3 linked regions of the Notamacropus eugenii genome follow. Each later gene encodes a partner of the first gene's protein in a complex. Links are inferred from orthologs where the notes say so. Each region holds a gene or a part of one and is shown in the gene's direction. Other genes may lie near its edges.

Region 1 (8,087 bases):
AAGGAAATTAAGACAATGGACAGAATTTTTTCTGGGAGTTTGGCCCAAAAAGGGAGAAGATAGGACTATTGCTTGAGAAGATGGTAGGTTCTAACTCTAGGGAGATTGGACATGTTTGTAGGTAGGAAGGATGAAATAAGAATAGCTAGGTGGCTCAATGGATAGAGTGCCAGGCCTGGAGTTGTGAAAGACTCCTCTTCCTGAATCCAAATCCAGCCATTGAAACAAATTGTTCTGATCTGCCATTTCTGCCAGGGCAAGTCTTCACGTGCTTGGGGTAGACATCTCCGTAACTCACTGATGAGTTTGAGACCTGTCTATTACCTCAACCTGGGTTAGCCCATCTGCCAAGATAGTACAGGCTGTGGCTACTCTGCATCCGACAGCTTCTTGGAGACACAGGTGGCCACCTCACGTCTCAGGTGTTAGTCATCCCTGAACAACCTAGATACTTCTACATTTCTGTACTTGAAGGGAAGGGTGTGACCTCTAACTTTAACAAATAAGTAGCAACAGTATCCATTTTATTTCATCTGAGTTTTGTTTCCATTTCCCTGGCCTATTTTATGTAGTTGTAATTGCTGAGTATATTGTTATTTTGTGTCTGCTTTCCTCACTCTATCACCAGGCACAAGTTTGTCCACATTTCTTCGAATTCTTCCTATTTATATTTTACTCTTGCTCTTGTTGGGTCATCCTGGGGTGACCCAGGAACCCGAAGTCAGGAAGATCTGAGTTCAAATTTGGCCTCAGATATAACTTAATGGCTGAGTGACCACAAACAAGTCACTTAACCCGTTTGCCTCAATTTTCTCAAGTACAGTGGAGACAATAAAAGCCCCTACCTGTCAGGGTGGTTATGAGGATCTAAGGAGATAATCTGTAGAACATTTAACACAGTGCCTAGCACATAGTAGGCACTATATAAATGTTAACTACTGTTATTATTATCTGTAGTTAATTGTTAGTTATTAATACATCAATGTATTAACTATATAATAATATGGTTTATATGATGTAATTAATATATGAATATAATTCTATCTTATATGTAATTAATACAGTATACATTTCTATCTATAATTATCTATTTTATATAATTACATCTCACACAACATTCACAATATCATAATTGTGCATGTAATATATTAAGATACATATTACAGTGCACAAATAATTTATTATATCTATTTCATATGGTATTTAATTAAAATATTTATACATAATAGCTAATAACTAGCTATTATTTTCAAGTGTCCATTCATTGGCTTGTGGGCAGTGGATGGGAAGGGCTCCAGCCCCCCACAGCAGCCACTCTTGCTGGTTTTTCAACTTGTTGCCTGGAAACGAAACAGCATCAAATGGGCAAGCGGGACTTTTTTCTTTGGAGAAAAAATGGAACAAGATTCAGGGAACCCTTCCTTTCCTCTGCTCCCTTGCTCAGTTCCTAATGGATATTCCCTCAGACTTAGACGTTTCCTCCTCCCCTTTTCCCTACCCTCAACACCAACCTTCCCTGAGATTATTCAGAGCCCACATCCCACTCACTATCTGCTTCCCAATGGTCATTAATGAGTGACCTTCTGCTTTGGAACTGCTAAGGTCTATCAAACTTTACTGTCTGCTCTGCCCCTTTGTCCTCTTAACTCCTGAGACTTAATTTCCCCTCTTTTCTCCTCTAATTAGATTATGAACTCCTTGAGAGTGAGGGGTTATTTGGCTTATCCACATGTATCCCCAGTGCTTAGCATAGTGCTTGTCATCCAGTCCTTATTTCCATCTTTCTGAGGCATTATGGTGTCTTTTCATTTGTTCAGCTGTTCTCTCACATGTACACAGTTTGCTCTGAGCTTTTCGCTGTTAGAAATAGTGCTGCTATGAAGATTCTTTTGTGTAGATGGGTCATTTTTTATATCAAAGCTTCTTTGGGGTACAAAACCAACAATGAGATCATTAGACAAAAGAGTATGAAAAACTTTGTGATATCTTGATCATTCCAAATTGCCTTTTAAAAGAATTGGCGCATTTCACAGCTTCCCTCATAGTAAATTCGTACCTATTTTCTTCCTTAAAATCCATGAACAGGACAATCCATCTCCTGTCTCTGGGCATTTTCTCTGGCTGTCCACCCTGCCTGGAATGCTGTTCCTCCTTCAGTCTGACTACTGTTCTCCCACTTTCCTTGAAGTCCCCAGCTAAGGTCCCCTCTTCTACAGGAATTCTTCCCCAACTCCTATTAATTCTAGTGCCTTTCCTAATTATTTTCTATTTATCATCTATATAGCTTGTTTATACATATTTGTTTGCTTGTGGTCTCCCCCATTAGATTGTGAGCTCCTTGAGGGCAGGGACTGTCTTTTGCTTCTTTTTGTATCCCTATGACTTAGTATAGTGCTGGGCATATAGTAGGACCTTAATACGAGAGTCTTATTGATATTTCATATCTTGTTACTTTGCTGAACTGTCTAGTTTTTAATTCTTTACTATTTTGTGAGTAAATTGCCAATTTTTCCTTTTTTTCAGGTGCTTATTCCCTTAATTAGCCTTATTGCTTTAGCTAGCTAGTACTTCTAGAACTATGTCAAATAATAATAATAATCTTTTTTTTCACTTCTGATTTTATTGGGAAATTTTGCAGGGTTTCTACATTACAATGTTACTAGTCATCTCTAGTTTATTTTTACATTTTAACATTATATTGATATCTTTGTTTGTATAAAACTGTCATTTTCCAGTATTCTCTAACATCTCCCCGTCGTTACCCACCCCAAAATCCCCAGGAACCCTCTCATAAAATGGAAAAAGCGATTAAATGAAACCAATTTATAGCATCATTCTTTGACACCCTCGATGATCTCTTCTCTCCAGGTTTTCTTTATTTTCTCCTGGTTCTTCTACCTGTTTGACTCTTCTTCTTATTCTCCTTTGCTGGATCTTCATTCGCACAATGCCCACTAACTACTAGGCCTAAGGCTGTATCTTTTCTCTTTTTCCTCTATACGAACTATTCTTAACCTTTTTTTTGAATCATGGAATCCTTTGAGTAGTCTGATGAGGTCTGTGGACCCCTTCTCAGAATCATGTTTTTAAATACATAAAGTACAATATGTAGGAAATCAATTATATTAAAATAGTTGTTTTTTCATTTAAAAATATAAAAAACCCCTCACATTAATACCCCTTGTTTCATGTTTGTGATAAAGACCTCATTTCTAAAATATAAGAGAACTGAGTCAAATTTACAAGAAAACAAGTCATTCCCCAATTGATAAATGGTCAAAGGATATGAACAGGCAGTTTTCAGAGGAAGAAATTAAAGCTATCTATAGTCATATGAAAAAATGCTCTAAATCACTATTGATTAGAGAGATGTAAATCAAAACAATTCTGAGGTACCACACCATACCTATCTGATTGGCTAACAAGAGAAAACAAGAAGATGATAAATGTTGGAGAAGATGTGGGAGAGTTGGAACACTAATTCATTGCTGGTGGAGCTGTGAGCTGATCCAGTCATTCTGGAGAGCAGTTTGGAACTATGTCCAAAGGGTTATAAAAATGTGCATACCCTTTGACCCAGCAATATTGCTTCTAAAGCTGTATCCCAAAGAGATCATAAAAATGATAAAAGGTCCCACATGTACAAAAATATTTATAGCAACTCTTTCTGTGGTGGTCAAGAACTAGAAATTGAGGGAATGCCCTTCAACTGGGGAAGGGCTGAACAAGTTGTGGTATATGAATGTAATGGAATAATATTGTGCTATAAGAAATGACAAACAGTCAGACTTCAGAAAAACCTGGATTTATATGAATTGATGCTGAGTGAAATGAACAGAACCAGGAGAACATGATACACAATAACAGCCACAGTGTGCAAAGACTACTTCTGATACACTTAGCCCTTCATAGCAATGCAAGGACCTAAAACATTCCCAAAGGACTCTTTTTTTTCCTCTTAATATCTTTTATTTTTCAGTTCTCAACATTCACTTCCACAAGAATTTGAATTCAAAATTTTCTCTCCATCTCTCCCCACCCCAGGACAACATGCACCCCATCCACCCCTTCCTCCAGTCTGTCCTCCCTTCTATAACCACCCCCTTCTTCCATCCCCCTCCCCTCTATTTTCCTGTAGGGTAAAATAGATTTCTATACCCCATTGCCTGTATATCTATTTTCCAGTTGCATGCTAAAACAATTTTTAACATTCATTGTTAAAGCTTTGAGTTCCATGTTCTCCCCCTTCCTCCCTCCCAACCCACCCTCATTGAGAAAACAAGCAACTCAATATAGGTCATACATGTGTAACAATGCAAAACACTTCCATAATAGTTATGTTGTGAAAGACTAACCATATTTCCCTCTGTCCTCTCCTGCCCTGCATTTATTCCATTCTCTCCCTTGACCTGTCCTCCCACAACAGTGTTTGCTTCTGATTATCCCTTTCCTCCAAATGCTGTCCTCTCTCCTATCCCCTTCCCTTCTCCCTTCCCGCAGGGTAAAATAGATTTCCATATCCAATTGTGTTATTCCCTCCTTAAGCTAAATTCCACAAGAGGCTCATTTAATTCACCTCCCTCCTCTTCCCCTCCATTGTCTTACGGCTTTTATGTGAGATGATTTGCTACATTCTACCTTTCTCTTACTCCTAATACATTCCACTCAACAGTAAATTTTTATTTTTTGGGTATTCTCCCTTCCTATTAATGAAAAAGGTCCCGTGAGTTAAAAATAACATCTTTTCATGTAGGAGTAAATCCTGTGTTATCCTGATTATATTTCCACAATACTTGAATTGTTTCTTTCTGGCTGCTTGTAATATTTTCTCCTTAACCTGATAACTCTGGAATTTGGCTACAATATTCCTAGGAGCTTTTCTTTTGGGATCTCTTTCAGGAGGTAACAGGTGAATTCTTTCCATTTCTATTTTACCCTCTGATTCTACAATATCAGGGCAGTTTTCCTTGATAATTTCTTGGAATATGATGTCTAGGCTCTTTTTTTTTATCATGGTTTTCAGGTAGACCAACAATTTCTAAACTCTCTTTCCTGGATCTATTTTCCAGGTCAGTTGTTTTTCCAATAAGATATTTCACATTGTCTTCTATTTCTTTCATTCTTTTGGTTTTGTTTTAGAATTTCTTGGTTTGTCATAAAGACATTAGCTTCCATCTGTTCCATTCTAATTTTTAAAGAATTATTTTCTTCAGTGAGCTTTTGGACCTCCTTTTCTAGGAAGCATTCTTCTCCTCCTTGACTTTTTGGACCTCTTTTGTCATTTGGGTTAGTCCATTTTTCTTCAGCATTTTTTGGGATCTCCTTACCAAGCTGTTGACTCACTTTTCATGATTTTCTTGCATTGCTCCCATTTCTCTTTCCAATTTTTCTTCCACCTCTCTTACTTGATTTTCAAAATCCTTTTTGAGCTCTTCCATTGTCTGAGCCCATTGCATATTTTTTTTTGGAAGTTTTGGATGTAGAAGCCTTGACCTTGCTGTCTTCCTCTGATGATATGCTTTGTTCTTCCTCATCCAAAAAGATGGAAGAAAATACCTTTTCACCAATAAAGTAATATAGTAAATAATAATAATAATATAGTAAATAATAATAATAATAAAGTAATATAGTCTTATTTTTTACCCCCTTTTTGGGCGTTTCCCCAGCCAGTTACTTGATTTTTGAGTCCTTTGCCAAGTGGAGAGTATACTACCCTAGGCTTCAGAGGTTTTGTGTAGCTGTTCTCTGAGATATCTCTAGGGACCAGTAAGTTCTCAGTTTCTCCAAGGTGGCACAATTAAGGGACAGGAGTTTACTCCTCTCCTGGCCTGTGCTCTGATCTCTGAGCAACCACCTCGAATTTGTTTAGTCATTTTTTTAACAGGTATTTTTTGGGCTATGGGGGGAGAGCTAGAGCAGGTCCATCCTTCTACTCTGACATCTTGGCTGTGGCCCCCACCTCCCAAAGACTCTTGATGCAAAATACCATTCACATCCAGTGAAGAACTATGGAATTGGAATGCAGAATGAAACAGACTGTTTTCTCATGTGTTATGTTTTGGTTTGATTTTTCTCATAGTTTCTCCCATTCATTTTAATTCTTCTGTGCAACATAACTAATGTGAAAATGTGTTTAATAAGAATGTACGTGTAGAACTCATATAAGATTGCATGCCATCTCAAGGAGGGAGGGGGGAGTAAGGGGCAGAAAATTTAAAACTTATGGAAGTGATTGTTGAAAACTAAAAACAAATAGATTGATTTTTTTTTTTTAAAAAGACCCCTTGTTTCAGAGAACTGCTTAGAGCAGTGGTGTTAAATTCTAAATGGAAAGGCATCATTAATCCATGCAGAAGGATCCTCATGGGTTGAAAATTAACTTAGTTCTTCAAAATACAATATTATCTTTGTTTTATTGCATTTACATTTATTTTCAAAAATAATTCCCAAATGTATTTTAATCTGGTTTGGACCTGTGGGCTGTGTTTGACGTCTCTGGCCTAGAGTACTGAGTTTAAGTGACTTGCTCAAGAGTCACACAGCCAAGATGTATCAGAGGCAGGATATCAACCCAGGCTGGGTCAGACATGACCGAAAAACTACCTGAACAAAATCAAATCTCTTCAGTATCTGTCAAGAAAACCCAAAAATGGGCTTACAAAGATTCTGAAATGGCTGTTTATTCACTAGTCTTTTTCACTATGTCAGCAAAATTACTAGTGTAACGATAACTGCTGGAATATGAGGACCTAAACCAGGTGCTGAAGTAAATCTCCCTCTCTCTCCCATGTCCTGAACTTGTCCAAGCCTTGTTTTCCCACTAGTAAAATTCCTCTGTCCTCTCCAGATCCAAGGTGTCTAATAATAACAAACTCATCTATTCTAATGGTAAAGGGCTTCCTCAGTATGTCCATTTCAATTATGATCTTCTGGAGAGAAAGGGACTTAGGGTTAGCAGAGGAGGGTTATAAACTACATTAATTACTCCAATGGTAAAAAATTTAGATTAGTAGAAAAGTTATTTGTATAGTCAGCAAGACATTGCCTACAGCAAGGTGTCACACGATGTGTCACACATAGAGCACTGGGTTCTTGGGTTCAAATCCAAACTTAGACATTTAATAGCTTTATGACTGAGCAAATCACTTAACTTCTGTCTCCCCCAATTTCCTCAATTGTAAAGTGGAAATGATAATAGTGTCTATGGCCCAGGGTTATTGTGAGCATCAGTACCATCCACATTCAGAGAAAGAACTATGGAATCGGGATGCGGAATGAAAGACTGTTTTCTCATGTGTTATGTTCTGGTTTCATTTTTCTCATGGTTTCTCCCATTCGTTTTAATTCTTCCGTGCAATATGACTGTGAAAATGTCTTTAGCATAGTAAAGTGCTAAGCGCACTGCCTGGTACATTGTAGGCCCTTCGTTTTTTCTTCCCCTTCCCCCCAGTCCTTTAGATGCTGGGCACTGTGCTGACCTCCTTGTAGGGTAAGCCACAACGAATAGGACCCTTGCTCCTATTTAACCCTACAGAGTGCCTCCCCAGCTCACCATCCCTGGGACGGACTCACAGGACTGCTTTTCTACACATAAAACCGGATTCCTTTGGGTGAATTGTCCCTCCAACAAGTCCCTGCCCCAGGAATTTGTGGCTGTGCGATCCTGGAGGGGCCTCAAGGTTCTTCTCTGTAAAGGGGTTTAAGAGCTACACCCATCTCCCAGGGTTATTTTGAGGATGAAATGGGTTATTTACAAAGCTCTATAAAACTCCCTTAAGTGCTATTTTAAAGAAACAGTTAAATTTTTTAAACAATGACTTTTAGTTTTCTACATTCACTTTTATAAGATTTTGAGTTGTGAAGTCTCCCCCCTTCCTCAAGACGGCATGCAGTCTGACAGAGGCTACACCCGTACAATCGTATTAAACATTTCCACATTAGTCATGTTGTGAAAGAAAAATCGGAACAAAGGGGAGAAAACAAACAGCAAAGGGAGGAAAGGGTGTGCTCCGATCTGGCCCGACTGCACAGCTCCTTCTCCGGGTGTGGGCAGCACCGGGCAGCACCGGCCACCACGAGTCTTTGGA
Region 2 (7,725 bases), on another chromosome or scaffold:
AGTGCAGAGCCAAGGTGAAATGTAAAATGCCTTGCAAACTGCTTCCAGTTTAAATGGTTTTAAGTGTTAACCTCCTGGCACAGTATGGCAGTGGTTAGTGTTGCTCCTTATTTAGTTCCTGTCAACGTGCTGTACTGAGCGTTTCTTTTGGGTGTTAGGAAATAAATACCTGTTCCATAATGTATATAGAATAGCTTTTTAATTTTCCTTTTTGGGGAGATCTTAGGCACAAGTCAAAACCTGATCTTTAAGTAGTTTTCCCCAGAGGTGACTATGCTATAAGACATAATGAGCTAAAGTAGATGAGAAGAAAAAGTCTAATCTCCCTTTTAGAGTCACTCAGGTTCTTCCCATGACTAAAAGCAGTCCAGAACATGTACATAGATAGGTCTAGAGCCAAGAGGAGACCTTCATTAGAGAAGGGAGGGGCCTCAGTGCCTTTTGCTGGCTTGAGTACAGCAGTGTCTTAGTGTTCCACAAAAAAAATATGTTAATTTGTGTTTTTCTCTAAGTCAATATGCAGCTCAGGGATCCCATCTATTTGAGTTTGATACTACTGATCATGAATCATTCAGAGCTAGGTTTGGCAAACAATTTCTGTGCCCCATTTTGGGTTGCAAGTTTGCTGTGAATTCACAGTACACAATTAGCTAACATATCAGCAGAGACAAACTTTACAGGTAATGTTCCACACCCATAATCTTCCACCTCAGCAAAGAGAGGAAGGTGAATTTTCTCATCACTTTTCTTGAGCTATTGGGCTAAGCTTGGTCATTATAACTACAACACATTCAAGTTTCTAGGTCATTGCTTTGTTGAGGTGAGAGAACCATGTGTTGAGGCTTGGGGTGCCTGGGACCCCAAAATACTGACAACCCTGGGTCCTACCCAAATGAATTTGACCCAAGCCTTTTTACAGCCAATGAAAAACAAAGTTTATTAAAGATCCGTCATGTTGGGTTAACTTATGAAGGCTGGCCGTTTTTGAGGTTTGTATTAACAAGTGGGCCAGATAGAATCTCAGGTAGACAGAATCAGAACTGGATTGAATCAGAGCACCTTCATAGAGACAAGAAAGAGCTTATATACAGAAAGACTGTGCGAGGGATCTGGGGGTGGTCTAGTGGTCTAGGGTGATGGGAAGAGGGTTTAGGGAGGGTCTTGAGGAGGAGTCCAATGAGGATCTTAATGGGGTTGGAGTGACAACTGGTCAGAATCAAGACAGTAGGATTCTGATGTGATCAGGGAGGAGTTAACAGACAATGGAGGGTTTATAGAATAAAAGATGGGAAGTAACCCGAGGCAATCTGGAGGCAACCAACAAAGGAGGGCCAGGCTAGGTTAAAGGTAACCAATTTGGGTGGGAAAAGCCAGATTTTAGAGTTCAAAGAGGTTCCCAGAGACTATATTCCATTCTTTTATTATTGTTCTTTCTTTCCATTTGCATTTTTTGGAATCATTGCATTTATTTTCCAGTTTCTGCTTACTTGACTTGACATTTTTTCATGTAAATCTTCCTATGCTTCTCTGATTTTGTCCCCACAACTCAAGATACTCCATATTCATAAACTAGCTATTGAGCTGTTTCTCATTGATGGGTGTCTCTTTGGGATTATTCTTCTCACAAGTACAGATTCCAGGGGAAAGTGGGCTTCAGTTTAGATGGCATATGTGACAAAATCGAAGCTCTCAGGAATTCTTCTGCCACAGTCCTTAAGTATGGTTGAACGTTTCTTTTTTGTAAAGCCTTTAGCCTGCCTTTCCCCACCATGCTCAGGCTGACCTTGCTTCCTGAAGCAAGACATTGTCACTTCAAGGATGCCATTGGGAAGATGAGAAGTACAAAATCCTCCACTAGTCCAATCAAAGTGGGACTAGGGGCAGGAGAAAATCAAGGCCAGGGCTCTCTCTGCTCTTCCCTGGATTCCAAAAGATTCTTTCTGTGGAGTATAGCTGGAATGCTCTCTCTTCTCCATTGCTGGGGACTTGAATCTCTCAAGCAAAAACTGGCTCAGTATTTTATAGATGGCCCATAGGACATAACTAAGTTTCCTCAATCAATCAGAATACATTTCTTGCTATATTTGGAGAGATATCCAGGCCTTCTTTACATAAATGAGATGCGTTCCCACCTGTTAAATGTAATAGGGGTATAGCATCTTATTACTTTAGGTGGGAGTGGAGTGGATTTATTCAAATGTTTATTCAATAATTTATTCAAATTATGTATTGATCTCCCCACCTTCACTCTGCTCTTCACTCAGAGGCCCCTTAACTCTCAGCACCCTAGAAGAGCACCTGGAAAAATTACTTAAAGTTTAGGTTTGGCTCATGTCTAGGGTCTCTCTGAAACACAGGATCCCTCTCCCTTTTTAAAAGAAATTCTAGGATGAGCAAACCCACCTGGTTGGGCTCGGTTTCTCCCCAAAAAGGGGAAGGTTAAAAGGTCCTGGAGATAAAATATTAATGAGATCTAGGACAGCTATTTATTTCCTCTACACAAAAGAAAGGCTAAAAACAAAAGACTCACAAGTGTCCTTAACGAGGAAGGAGTAATGATAGTGGCTGGAGCAATTTAATGTTTGCAAAGGTCTTTACAAACTTTAGCTTATTTTGCCCTCCTCACAACCTGAAGAGGTTGGTGCTATTTATCATTGCCATTTTACAGATGCGGGACCTGTGGCTGGTAAGGGTTAAGTGACTTGCCCAGGGTCAGGAAGTTTATAAGTTTCTGAGGCCAGTTTTGAACTCAAGACTGAGTTCCAGGGTTCTGTCCACTGTGTCCACCTAGCTCCCTCAGTATTACTGTTATGTTCTCCTGTGAGACTTGAACAAAATATAAAACATTTTATGGGTCTGCTGAATAGACATTTTATCTTTCTCTTAGGCTCTGCCCTTTTCAAACAAATCTCTCCAGGTCCACTTCTACTGGCAAGTCAGGCCAGTCATTCTCTGATGTAGAAACTCCTGCTGCAGGTCAGCTCAGAGAGACCTCAGTATGATCTCAGACTCTGGAATCCACACAAGATTGCCTTGGAGGCAGGCCATGTACATCTTGGGCAAATGGAAAAGCTAGTCAGGAACTTCAAGGTTAAGTTCAGCTGGCCTCATTGCCATATATTAGCAGATGTCAGGTTGTCAGAGCTGATGAAAGGGGCTACCCTTTCTTTTTCCCTTCAGGGTAGTCTAAAGAGGAAAAGCACTTATCACCCATAAGGTGGAAAAGAGAGACAGAGAGCAAAATACCTCCTGGCTTATTCGCCAGTCCTAGCTGATACAGGTTTGATGTCTTTCAACCACTGGGAGTGAGAGACCATGAGTCTGCTTTGTCATTCCAAAAAGACAAACTCCAGAGAGGAGTACATTTTCCTAGAAGTGTTAAGGGATGCAATCCCCATCACGTAACAAGATGTTTAGCTTTGGCCATAACATCCTGCAAATTCCCTTCTAATCTTCATGTACCTTCACAATTAAAAAAAATATATCATTGCAGATGCTGTTTTCTAACTGAATAAAGTCACTCACATTGTGTTTAGTGATCAGATTTATTCGAGGTGTCACTTATATCCTGGTTTGGGGTTGGTAACCTCTTTCCCATCAAGGGCTCCCAACTCTGGGTTCATTATGCTATCAATCTAGAGTTGTACCAACTCTGGGGAAAATCTCTTAAACAAAGCCTAGTTTTGGCTCTTGTCCAGGTTCTGCCCAGAAGGGATTAGACTCCTACAGAAATGCTCAATGTACGAAATAGATTATGTACAGGACCGCTATTTATTTCCTCCACAACAAAAGAAATGCTTAAAACACAAAAGACTCATAAGCACTCACTGAAAAATATTTAAAACATGAAACAATAATCCATCAGTTCTATTACACTCTTCTGGGAGATAGGAAAAACTTACAGGACAGTTGTGGAACAGATAAACATTTCATTTTCAGCCCAACCTACACTGTCTGAACAACTCACTCATAGCCCCTGTCTTCTGGTCAGCCAGCCCACCTGGCTCCAACCTCCTAGACATGGTTTTCTTCTCCAAAAGGGGCATGACTACCAAGCAGAACCTCCCACTGGAATATCAGCACCCAGACTTCTCCATGACTCTGGGCTGCTCCAGCTCAGTCGGCGGCAGACAGGTGCCTTCTCCAGCTCATCTTACAAAAGAGCAAAGTGGGCAAACTGGGTTAAGTGACTTGTCCAGGGTCACACAGCTAATAAGGGTCTGAGAAGAAATATGAGTCTTCCCGACTCCAGGACTCTATCCACTGTGCCTCAACAACCACAAAGATCCCTCCAAGTAAAATAAAGTGAATGCACCGAGGGCATGGTGGTGGGGGATTTTCAAGTTCCCTGGGACAGCTGGAGCGACTTTAAATCAATTTAAAACCAGTGCTAGGGATAAGCAGTAGAGTTGGAACCTGGAGTCAGGAAGACCTGGGTTCAAATTCAGCCTCAGACATGTAAAAGCTGCGTGCCCGTCACAAGTCACTGAGCCTGCTGGCCTCAGTTTCTTCTTCTGTAAAATGGGGTAACAGCAGCCCCTACCTCGGGGTAGCTGTGAGCCAGTCCTTCCTGCCATCCTCATCCTCACTGGAGCTAGTTTCTACTGCGTGGCAGCGTCTGCCTTCATGGGTGCAGTCACAGCGGCAGTTTCCACCTCCGCGGATGCCTCCTGCACGGGGGGCACACCGCCTGCCGGCGGGGTGCGTGCGGAGAGGGCCCAGCACGGGCTAACCCGCGGGGATGGCTCCAGCTCGCCACAGGTCCAGACTGCCTCTCCACCCGCAGCCGCAGGGGGGCGCAACCTGCCCGCAGATCCCAGGCTTCCCAACCCCAACGAAGACCCGACGAAGAACTCTCCCGCCACCTGGGGAGAGCCGGGCTGCCCACAGTTATGCCCGGTGTCAGTGAGACGGATGGAAGCACGGACGTGATGCTTCAGCATCGGCGATTTCGGAGGGGCGGCTTCCAAGCCCCAAGTGGGGAATTATCTTTAAGGGTGGCTGATGTGAGCATGCGCACGTATGCGCTCAAATCCCGAGCGCCCTGACAGGCACTTCCGCGGCCAGCCGGGCGCCGGAGCGGGGTCCTTCGTAGGCGCGAGATACGGGGCCCGGGTGCTTGTGGCGGCCCTCGAGTCCCTGGTGCTTGCGTTGACCGGACCGCCAACATGGAGGAGCTGGATGGTGAACCCACGCTCACGGTAGGTTCCGTGCCGAGGGACCAGCAGGGCCAGGGACAGCCGCGGGTGGTCCAGGCGCGTTCCCGCCTTCCGTCGGAGGTCGCTGCCCCGCCCCTCCAGAGGTCACGGCCCGGCTCGGGCGCGCGCTGCAGCCTGGCAGGGCCGGGTCGTGAGAGGCGCCGGGTTGCATTTCCTTTGTTTCCCGCTCGCGCCTTGGCCACGCCCACGCACGTGGGTGTTCCTCCCTCCCGCGCCCTAGGCGGGCCTCCTGCCCTCTCTCTCCCTCCCCTCCCCCTCCCCTTCTCACCTGAGAAACGCCGCTCGGGTTTTCCCGGGGAGTCCTCGGGGGTTTTCTTGGTTGTCGCGCTGGCTGCGTCGCGTGGTGGGCGGGGTGCCGGCGGTGGAGTCCGGGGGGCCTGGGTTCGAGCACGGCCTCGTCCCTTTCCCGTTTCTGTGATCCTGGTGGAGTCCCTTAGCTAGTCTGTAAATGGGGGTAATGACATCAGCCGGCGCTTCGCGGGGTCGGGGTCGCCTTGTAAAGCGCTTTGCAAACCCCGGGCCGGTCACTCCGCAGCAGGGGGACATCCTGGGGCCCGCCCCCCGGGGTGTGGGCAGGAGCGGAGGAGAGCCGTGAAGTGCTGGGTCCGAGCGGGGGGCCGCTCGTCCTCCCCGGGTAAGTGCGGCGTGCGCGTTAGCTGTCGTTGCTACTGCTGTTTAAGCGATGGCTCCTCAGCATCGTTATTATCGACAGCCGTCCCCGCTATCTGTTATAGTAGAGTGAATGACTGACATGGGAATGCTTCACGTGGTTGAGTGATTGCTCGCCATCCCAGGGCAGGGGGGGAGTGGGAAGGGAGGGTGCTAGAATTAGACAGTTAGAACCGCAGTGCTTGCCCTTTACCACACAGTCGCACCATCTCTCACGGGCCCCTCCGCACTTGTGTGACCTGCGTGGCCGCCACCAGCGCTGGGGCTTCTCCCGCCTGCTGAACCGGACCCCATTCTCCTGAACCTGGTCATTCAGGGGCCTCTAGTGGTGCAGTGGACAGAGCACCAGTGCAGGCGTCAGGAGGGCCTGAGTGCAAATCTCACCTCAGACACTGGACACGCCACTAGCGGTGTGACCTTGGGCAAGTCACTTAACCCCAGCTGCCTCATCCTGGGTCATCTCCAGCCATCCTGATGAATATCAGGTCACTGGATTCAGGTGGCTCTGGAGGAGAAGTGAGGCTGGTGACCTGCACAGCCTTCCCTCACTCAAAACAAATTCAAGTGCAAGTCATGTCATCATTTCTCTGATGGCATGATCTTCTTGGGCAACGAAGGACGAACACACGTATATTTAGTCTCAGAGAAAATCAGAGATGTTTTCACAGTGGCTGTGGAAAGTACTGGAGAAACCCTTGTCTCCTCTGACTTTTTCTTTGTACTTTGGTTTAACTCCATTTTGAAGCAGGGACCAGGACCAGGTTTTTGTTTAGTGCTGCACTGAGTATCTGGTGACTATGCCATCAGCGAGTTTGAGGTGAGACAGTAGTATACGGTCATCCTGCAAGCTTCCCCCACTCTGGAACCTCACCCTGTTTTCCTCATTATATTTCTGAGCTGTTGGCATGACCCTTCTGCTGAAAGGTCATACTTGACATATCTCTGGTCATGGCCATTCAGCTTCTCTAAGAAAGAGAATGTATGGGTCGAACTAGATGTCCTTGAAACTCACGTCCACTCAATAGATTCTGTGAATCACTGCTGAAGCTAATTAGGCAGAAAAAAGGATACACGTAGGAAGGAGTGCATGTTGTTATTTCTATAAATAGTAATAGAATAAAGCAATTAAAAAAAAAAAGTCACACCCCACATAGATACCAGCTGATAATCTGCAGAGTTCATGACAATCTTGAAATGACTGAAATAATGCTACTTAAGAGTAATACTTATTTTTTAAACTGTATCTTATTGATGCCTTTTGCCTTTGCACCAGTCATTTCCAACCTTCTCTAGATTGCACCTCTTAATTGTGGATACTCCAGGATCCTGTCCTGGGCCCACTTCTTGTCTCTTGCTTGGTGACCTCAGCAGTTTTCATGAGTTTAATTACCATTTACAAATGATTCCTAAATTCTACATATCCTGCCTGAGTATCTCCTGAGCATTGCTCAGATATCTCTGTTGGATATTTCAAACTAGGTTGCCTATAGACATCTTAAACTCAACTTCTCCAAAACAACTCGTTTTCTTTTCCCTCAGTCTCACCCAAGTTCAGTTCTCCTGATCATCTCTATTTCTATTGCGCATCCCCTTCCTTCTAGTCACTCAGATTTTCCATCTCGGTGTTGTTCTGAAGTACTCATTCTCTCTCATCACACATATAGTCACTCAGTTGACACATCTTGCCATTTCTGTGTCCATGACATCCTTTGCTTCTGACCTGATCTTTGTATTCACATAAACACCAATGCAATTCGAACCTACATCACCTTTCACTGCCATGGCCTCTTAATTGGTCTTCTTACACAACTGCCAAGAGATTTTCCTAAAAGTGCAG
Region 3 (7,949 bases), on another chromosome or scaffold:
CAACAAGTCCCTAATTTCCAGCATGCCTCCCTAGAAACTTTGAGGAATTTCCTTTTGGGTAAGATCAAAGCCTGTCTTTGTTGAGCTCAGATGGATAGCTTGCTCTCAGTGGAAGAACTAATTCACTCTGTATATTGTCTGGAATATTCTAATCTGGTTTCTGCTTGTTTTCTGCTTAAATAAATGAGTTTACTCACTATTCACTATTTGTGATGGCCTTTTAGATAACTAGCTTTTGATGGGATAGATTCAAGCCTTCAAATATAAATAAGAGGTACTCCTTTTTTTAAGGAATAGTAACCTAAAAAGCAGATTGAACCAAAGGGGAAAATATCCTTCCCTAGACTAACAATATTTAAGGGAGAAAATGGGTATAAATATAGCCTGGGAGAAAATGGGTATAAATATACTCCTTATCTAAGGAGAGAAGAATGAGTAGCCTATGGCACTAATTTCCTTTTTCCCCTCTAGGCAGAAACTAAAATTTCCTTTGGAGAAGGGTAGGCAAAATTCCAGATCCATCAAATCATACTACCCACAAATAGCTATTAGATAACCCAGGTGGACGTATACCCCTACATGGGCTACACAAACCCTACATGTAATATACACATATGTGCATATGTACATATGTAAACATATACATATTGTATATAGAGATATAGATATGCAACACCACCTCTAAGCTCTCTTCCCCAACCCCTACTTACACTAACAAGTTAGTTCCTTAGAGAACAGCTAATTATTTCTCCCCTCAGGGTTTTAGGAATAAACTTAAGGTTCTAGTAGTATCACTCTCAAACCCTCATCTGATGGGTTCCTCTTTGATTATGTTCGACTTAATTAGCTTTCAGAAAGGAGTATTTACTAAGCAGATAGAGAAAGGAAGATTTAGACCCAAATAACTCCCATCCCCCCACCCCCAGGCTAAGGCACACTCTCCTCTGGCACACACAAATCCCTGGGGAGAGTGGGCTCTAGTTTAGAGAACATGAGAGAAAGGGTTAACTCACAGCTCTTGATTTTTGGAATTCCTTTTCTCCTTTCATAGAGTTCTCAAGAAGTTTCCCTTTGGGATATGTGCTTCTCTGCTGGACTCTGATGGTAGGTGCTCTTGTACAGTCCTGTAGTTGCATTTCCTCAGTATTCTCTAGTTCTTCCTTGACTCCTGAAGCACATACTGCCATCAGCCACTGCTGTTCCAGGAACGCCGCTACCAATACAGATGTTCAAATCTTCCAACCCTTCCAAAGTCACAAAGTTTTCCTCTGATCAAGAGGAGGGGAGAAAATGCAGAAATTCCTCCTTACCTACCCCCTAAGAGATTCCCTCTCTGATGCTCAGCTGTAGTTGTTCTACTATTAGTCCGATCAGTTATAGGAAAGCCAGATTCTGACCTGGTTTGCTATTTTAGCCAACTTCAACCAACCACAAGACATTTCCTATGAAGCATCATCTGCTCTCATTCAATGACTCAAGTATTTTACTAATTATCTAAGAACTTATTCCTACCTAGTTTATACCTTTGACTGATCCTGACACTCTCCTGATAAAGCTACTAAGGCATAGAGCATCTTGTTCCTCACATTAACTGGGGTGACAGGCTTTAGGATGCTATCTACAAGTATTAATACACACACATATATATACACATATACACAATACTCACATAGATGTATACATTGCATATGTCTCTCTACATACACATACACATATGATCAATTTTTTGTTGCTGTTCAGTTACGTCCAACTCTTTGTGACCCTGTGGACCATACTGTCCTTTCTTGGCAAAAATATTGGAGTGATTTGCCCTTTCCTTCTCCAGTGGCTTAAGGCAAACAGAGTTTAACTGACTTGCCCAGAGTCACACAGCTAGTAAGAGTCTGAGACTGGATTTGAACTCAGGTCCTCCTGACTCCAGGCCTGGTGCTCAATCCACTGGGCCACAAAGCTTTTTCCTCACATGATCAACAGAGTAGCAGGAAAAATGTTTTACTTTAGGAAGTAAATGAGGTAAAATGAACTACAGGACCAAAGAAATCACTGCTTTTGGAAAGGATGATAATAGCTAGTATTTATATAACATAAGGTTTATGAAGTATTTTTACAAATATCTCATTTTTTCCCTCAAATCAACCCTGGGAAGTAGGTGAGAAAAGCGTGGCTCGAGGTTAAATGACTTGCCCAGGTCACACAGCTAGTACGCTTCTGAGGGTGGATTTGAACACAGGTCTGTTCTGACTCCAAGTCTAATGCTCTATACTGTTCTCTGCCCCGATTCTTATTAAGGCTTAGTCACTGAATGGGTGTTGACCCAGTCAAACTGAGACCTGTTAAAGCCCTTAGCTTGAAAAGGTCTAGGTCCCCCACTGCATCCTTGGTCATCTCCCATTGTTCTGATCTCTATCTGGCCACTAGACCCACAAGGCTCCAGAGGAGAAAGTGAGGCTGGTGACTTTGCACAGCCCTCCCTCACTTAAATCCATTTCACTAGTATGTCATGGCATTAACCTCCCTGATATCATGGTCCTCTTCTGGGAAAGGACAAACAACAATCCTTTTCACTGCACCACCTAGTTTCCTAAACTAAATATTCAATATTCAAGTATAATCTTTAAAACACTGCGATGATAACTATAGCTGGAAGGAACCTCGGAGGTTAACTAGTTCAATCCATTCATTTGACAAATGAAGACACTGAGGCCCAGGGAGCTTAAGTGATTACCAGGTCACACAGGTAAGAAATCACAGATTCCAAATCTATGGCTTCTTCCATCGGCTCCTCCTGATCTACCAAGAGGATAATGGACAAACCTGGTTGGCGTGGGGAGGCCTTTTTGCTGTATCTCTATGTTCCCTCTCAAGATGGATATAACAGTTCACCTTGGCAAGGCTCCTCCAAACTCTAAGGCTAGAGCCAGACGTGCTTATCTAATGGCCCTCTGGAGCTGTTACACTGACAAGTCTTCACCGGAGGACCTTCCATTCAGCATTCAGGGCTCTGCTTTGAGGTGGTGCTGGGCACAAGATGAACCCAGTGTCTTGCATGCAATGATTCATCACTATGGTCACACAGATCTGCTCCTTTCTGTTAAGGAACGTACAGAGATGAGCCAAATACGGGAGCACCAAGAGCAAGAATACTTATTCACAGCCATCTGAAACCACTGGGGTAATTTTTCAGAAGTTCTACAGGCAGCCCATGTTGGTGGCGAGAAGGCCGGCTGGACCCAGCTCCTTGGGCAAGCCTCCACGACATCCCCAGCCTGATAAAGGGCCTTTCTTGGAGGAGGGGTTTGTCCGCGGGCCAGGGCCAGGGCCAGGGCTGGCAGATCCATTTTGTCTAGAGGCAGCTCTGGCAGGTTCCTGCCTCAGTTTCCTCAACAGTAAAAAGAGGACGATAACGGCAGCTATACTACAGAACTGCTGTCATCACAGACATTCATAGAGCCTGGCACATACTAAACGGTCAGTACATGCTTTAATAAACCCTTTCCCTCACCTCTCAAACGTTCAGGATATTGTGCCTCTGTCATCGCGGGCACGTGTTGGACAACGAGTTCAAATCTAGGTCTAGAAGTCATCCAGTGTGATCAGGGGGTGTACCTGGGGAAAAGGGGGGGAGGGACCCCACCTGGTTCAGCAGACAGGTGCCCAGGGAGCCAAGGCTTGCGCCAGAGAAGTCCAGGCACGCACACACACGGACGTAAACAAACACTCATTCCCTCGCCACCTCTGGGTGGCAGAATGGGCTCAGTAACAAGTTTCCGTGGGGGCGCCTCCTTATTTACCCAACCGTTTCAGGAGAGCCTGAAGATCGGCTGAGGAGCGCCCGGCTCCGGGCACTCCCACGTGTGCGGACGCGGCTTCCTTTGAAGTCCCAGAACGTGGGGCGGCCCGCGGGCAGCAGGGGGCCGGGCGCCTCACGCCCCTCCCAGACAGCCCGCAGGTAGCTGGGCGCCCGAGGCTCGGCGCCGAGGGCAGCGGGGGAGCTCGGCCGGAGCTAAGAGCCGCGCTCGGCGTGTCCCCCTCCACGCCCCGCTCCCAGGCACCCCGAGCGATCGGGCAGCTCCCGCGGAGCAGGGAAGGCCCGGTCCCGGGGGCTGGTGGCGGTCTTCCCGCCAAGTGCACAGCAGCCCGACGAGCGCGGCCGGGGCCCGCTTTACATTCGGAGGTCCCGACACAAAGGGCTCCAGCTCGGCCCCGGAGGGCAGCTCCTAGCGCTCCCACCAGGCCGCCCAAGGCCTCTCCTCCTGCCTCCCCCTTACAAACGATTAGTTCTCCCGGCTCCTGGTCTACAGCCCCCACCCACGGAGCAGGCAAAGGGCGGGACCCACAGCCGAGAGGGCTGAGGCGGGCTCAAGACGTTGGGCGGGAGATGGCGGGGAGGGGGCGGGGCGGGGCTGACCTGGGGCTGTGGAGAGAGGGAGCGAACACTTGCCCGCGCGCTACCAGATCAAACTCGCGCTTCCACCAGCACACTGGCGGCGCCCCACCCTCTCCGTCACCAAAGGCGCCGGACCAATGAGCAGAGAGGAAAATCGGGGCCTGAGGGCCTCGAAAGGGGAGGTGGCGGGAGGTGGGGGAGGGAAGGCTACTTTTGACTGGCAGGCAGCCGTGACCAATCCCCGTGCGGTTTCCCCTTGTCCTCCCCGCTCCACTCCTCTCTCCCTTGCCTACTACCCCCCCACCCAGGCTCCCTCTCAACCAGGCCTATCTCCCCTCCCCCACTCTGCGGGCAAATCGCTGCTGGAAAGAGGCGGGGGCCTGAGCGGCGGGCTCGTGTGGAGGCTTTAGGTGGGATTGATGGGTCCGCCAGCCAATGGCTGCGTGACTGACGGCGCGGCTGTGGCTAGCTCCGACCAATAAGCCGGCGGGCTGGGGGAGGAGGCCCAGGTTCCAAACGCTCCGCGGCGCCATGGGCTGAAAACTCAACCGAGATGGAATCTCCCAGTCTGAACCGGTTTCAACCGGTTCCGAGTTTGTGGCACTAGGAGGGGGAGAAGCGGCGCGGCGGCAGCAAGAGCAGCAGCAGCAGCAGCAGCAACAGCAACCTCCACGGCAATAGCTACAGCCCCAGCAGCGGCGCCTGCTCCCGTCTTTGCTGCTGCCGGCCGTGCAAGCACCCGGAGGGGGAGGAGGGAGCCGCCAGTCGCGGAGGAGGAAGAGGAGGGGAGAAAGTTTAGGGGAGCCGGGTTGGGGGGGCCCAGCCGCCGGAGCCGAGTGAGAGAGGGCACTGCGTTGTGGTGGGGGGAAGTCGGACTGCACCCGGCAGCACTGAGCGTCCCCTGACTGGACTTCAGCGGCGACCCCCCCCCCCCCCCCCCCCCCGCTGCTCCTGCCTGGCCGGAGGGTCCCCTTGGGGCTGAACCTCTGGGACCTGACTTCCCTTCTCCCCTCCCCCGCCCCTCCTTTTCCACCCCAGCGGGATCGTTGATTCATCCGCTTCGTTATCGTTATTTTGGGGGGAGGTGCGTGTGAGGGGGGGAGGCGTCACTGGAAGAGTAAAACGTTATTGAGCTTTTTTTTTGCCTTTTTCCTCCCCTCTCATTTTTTAATTTCTCTTTTTTTAAGGTGGGCAAACTGTGAAACCCACCTTCGTCTCCCCTCCTTCCCCCTTCCCCACCTTCCCTCATCCCCTCCCAGCCCCCCACAAGGAAGGACGAGGCAGTTGGTTCAATCTCTGGGTAAGTCGGAACACGTAATGAGCGATCTTGGGGGGTCGGGGGGTGTAGTCCTGAGGGTTCGGGAGCCCGAGCTGGATCGAGGAGAGATCCTGGGTGGGGTGAAGTGGGAGGATCGGGGGGGCGGTCCGCCGCGCGGCGGGGGGAAAGGCCCCCGAGCGGGGTACGGGCCGCGGTGTGGTGCGGTGCCTGCAATTGAATGGAACGGCTTGTAGCGCTGGGGAGGTGGGAGGGGAGGGAGGTGGGGTGCACGGCCGCGGGAGGCGAGCCGCTGCCGCCCTTGGGGAGGGGGCGCGGGGCCCGGGGGCTGCCCCCGTCGGCCGGGGCGATGTGGGGAACGGCTCGGTGAATTATTATGAGTGGAAGTTTCCAGAAATACTGAGTGCAGCAGCAGGAGCAGCAGCATTGAAACGTCCGCCTGCGTCACGTGGCCCCTGGTAGAGGGAGCTGGGATCGGGAGGAGGGAGGGGCTGCGGTGGAGCCAGGCCCGCTCGGGGCTGCTCCGGCGTGTGCGCGCGTGTGTGTGTGTGGACGTGTCCACGCGTGCATGTGCCCGTGTCCGGCCGTGGCGGAGGTCCTGAGCGGAGATGGCCGTGTGCGCGGTTAGACCCCTAGAAACGCGTTTGCTAGGGCTGGCGTTGTGTGTGAGTGCTTTCATCAGCCCTCTTCCGGGGGTGGGAGGGAGAGGGGCAGAGCAGGAGCCCTTTCGGGGGTGTTTGAATTCGGCCACGGTCGGCTCGCCGTCACGTCCCTGGCTCGTTCCCCGGGGCTGGGGCGCTGAGCTTGGGTCTCGCCTGGTCTGCATACCTTCCCCGAGTGAGGGCGGGGGGAGGGCCCCTGGCGGCATTCTATAGTTAGAAGTGCAGCACAGTCAGTCTGGGTGGGAGGCCGGAGGAGAGCAGGGGAGGGCGTGTTTCTCCTGAATGAAGCTGGCGACTGCCCGCACACCTTGTAGCGACTTGTCTCTGACCTGTGGTGAAGTTAGCTGTGAGCTACGGTTAGGGGATGGCAGGGTGGCTGTTGGCTTGTTCCTGTTGAAGTGAAGAGCCCTCACTATATACTAGCATGCTAGTACAGACCAGATAAAATGGTAATCCCGCGTGGAGAATGGAACCTAATGAACTGGTGTTTGGAGTGGAGGGGGCAGCAAGAAAAGGTATTTTACCTGGCGATTGGATGTTTGTTCCGGGTTTTACTAACACTTAAAAGCTTTTATGGAGAGAGGAAGTTTAAAACACTGATGGTTAGGAAGTTGAATTTTTTTGGACTTTTTTTGTTTTGGAAGTCAAAAGTGATTGACACTGACCACAAAGCTCCCATTTCTGTACTTTAAGAATAGGTAGGTCGTTTTGGATGTATAGTACTGAGAGTGGCACAATGCTGTGCTTATGGGGGGTGAACTACTTTGAAATGGATACTCTAGAAGATAGAAAATGGGGTGGGGATTGAGGGGCACCCTAACTAGTAAAATGCAGCACTTCAGTTGCATAAAAAGCAATATTATTATAAACTAATTTTCTTCCATCCATTGACAAATGGTGTACTTGAGTAGACCCAAGTAAAATGAAAACGTAAACTATTTCTTCCCTAATTATCCAGTCCTAATTAAAGACCACTTTTGAGGTGTATATTTCATGTTCTGTATGAGTGAATTTGTTTTCTCAATATAAATGATGCTACCCTTCATCTTAGAATTTTTAAAAATTACATTTGGGAAAGGAAAGAGTAACTGACACCATTGAGAGCATATGTGAGAGAGATTTCCATTTTTCTTTTTTGTCAGTAGTTATTTTTGACTCAAGATTTTGTAGCTATGCTTATGACAGGTGCTGTGTTCTAAAAATATATGTTGTGTAACACCTAGGTTTTAAGAATTGATGTCCTGGTTGTAAACTAGTTAATAGACTAGTAAGTTTTGAAAGTAGTTAAATTGTTCTATCTCTTTAGAAAGTCTTAAAAATAATTTCTGCTTTTTTGTGTCTTAGGGTAAATTGCATTTTTTAAACTTAGTATTGACTTTAGGATTTTCATTTTACATAAGCGAAATGTCATAACTTAATTTTTTTACTTTGAAACTAATACAATGAACCTATCTTCAGTGAGTACTCTAAGGCTTATCAAATACAAATTAAGCACCACCCATTCAGTCTTAAGGTTTTGCTTATAGTTTGAGTTTTAGAAAGTTACAGTGAAATAATCTCCAAATTTTTCAGTGATGAAAGTATTAATGTATTTTGGCTTTACACTTTGATAGTGCTGGTGAAA

The links. The genes of interacting proteins can lie anywhere in the genome.
Region 2: E3 SUMO-protein ligase RanBP2-like (region 1) and NUP85 share a complex: the UniProt entries of both Homo sapiens proteins name them as parts of the nuclear pore complex. The link is inferred for Notamacropus eugenii from reciprocal best matches to the Homo sapiens genes RANBP2 and NUP85.
Region 3: the proteins of E3 SUMO-protein ligase RanBP2-like (region 1) and XPO1 are in contact, whole or in part, in a cryo-EM structure (PDB 9B62), measured with the Homo sapiens proteins. The link is inferred for Notamacropus eugenii from reciprocal best matches to the Homo sapiens genes RANBP2 and XPO1. Residues at the interface, in NP_006258.3 of Homo sapiens: Val2508, Val2509, Ser2510, Pro2511, Pro2512, Lys2513, Phe2514, Val2515, Phe2516, Gly2841, Phe2842, Gly2843, Ser2845, Thr2846, Gly2847, Leu2848, Ser2849, Phe2850, Ala2851, Leu2853, Ala2854, Asn2857, Ser2858, Gly2859, Asp2860, Phe2861, Ala2862, Phe2863, Gly2864, Ser2865; in NP_003391.1 of Homo sapiens: Trp60, Val63, Asp64, Leu83, Asn97, Gln98, Gly101, Ile102, Lys104, Tyr105, Val107, Gly108, Ile110, Ile111, Leu134, Phe149, Asp152, Ile153, Gly155, Ala156, Ser157, Arg158, Thr159, Ser160, Glu161, Leu163, Cys164, Asn167, Leu208, Phe211.

The regions. Positions count from the first base shown.
Region 1 is NC_092877.1:204,448,530-204,456,616, forward strand, and holds the start of E3 SUMO-protein ligase RanBP2-like, read left to right. Parts: upstream 1-5,006; 5' UTR 5,007-8,087. UniProt on the Homo sapiens protein: E3 SUMO-protein ligase which facilitates SUMO1 and SUMO2 conjugation by UBE2I. Involved in transport factor (Ran-GTP, karyopherin)-mediated protein import via the F-G repeat-containing domain which acts as a docking site for substrates.
Region 2 is NC_092873.1:341,248,757-341,256,481, forward strand, and holds the start of NUP85 (nuclear pore complex protein Nup85), read left to right. Parts: upstream 1-4,709; 5' UTR 4,710-5,168; coding exon 5,169-5,201; intron 5,202-5,320; exon of another isoform or gene 5,321-5,853; intron 5,854-7,725. UniProt on the Homo sapiens protein: Essential component of the nuclear pore complex (NPC) that seems to be required for NPC assembly and maintenance. As part of the NPC Nup107-160 subcomplex plays a role in RNA export and in tethering NUP96/Nup98 and NUP153 to the nucleus.
Region 3 is NC_092872.1:643,246,861-643,254,809, forward strand, and holds the start of XPO1 (exportin-1), read left to right. Parts: upstream 1-4,933; 5' UTR 4,934-5,687; intron 5,688-6,120; exon of another isoform or gene 6,121-6,328; intron 6,329-7,949. UniProt on the Homo sapiens protein: Mediates the nuclear export of cellular proteins (cargos) bearing a leucine-rich nuclear export signal (NES) and of RNAs.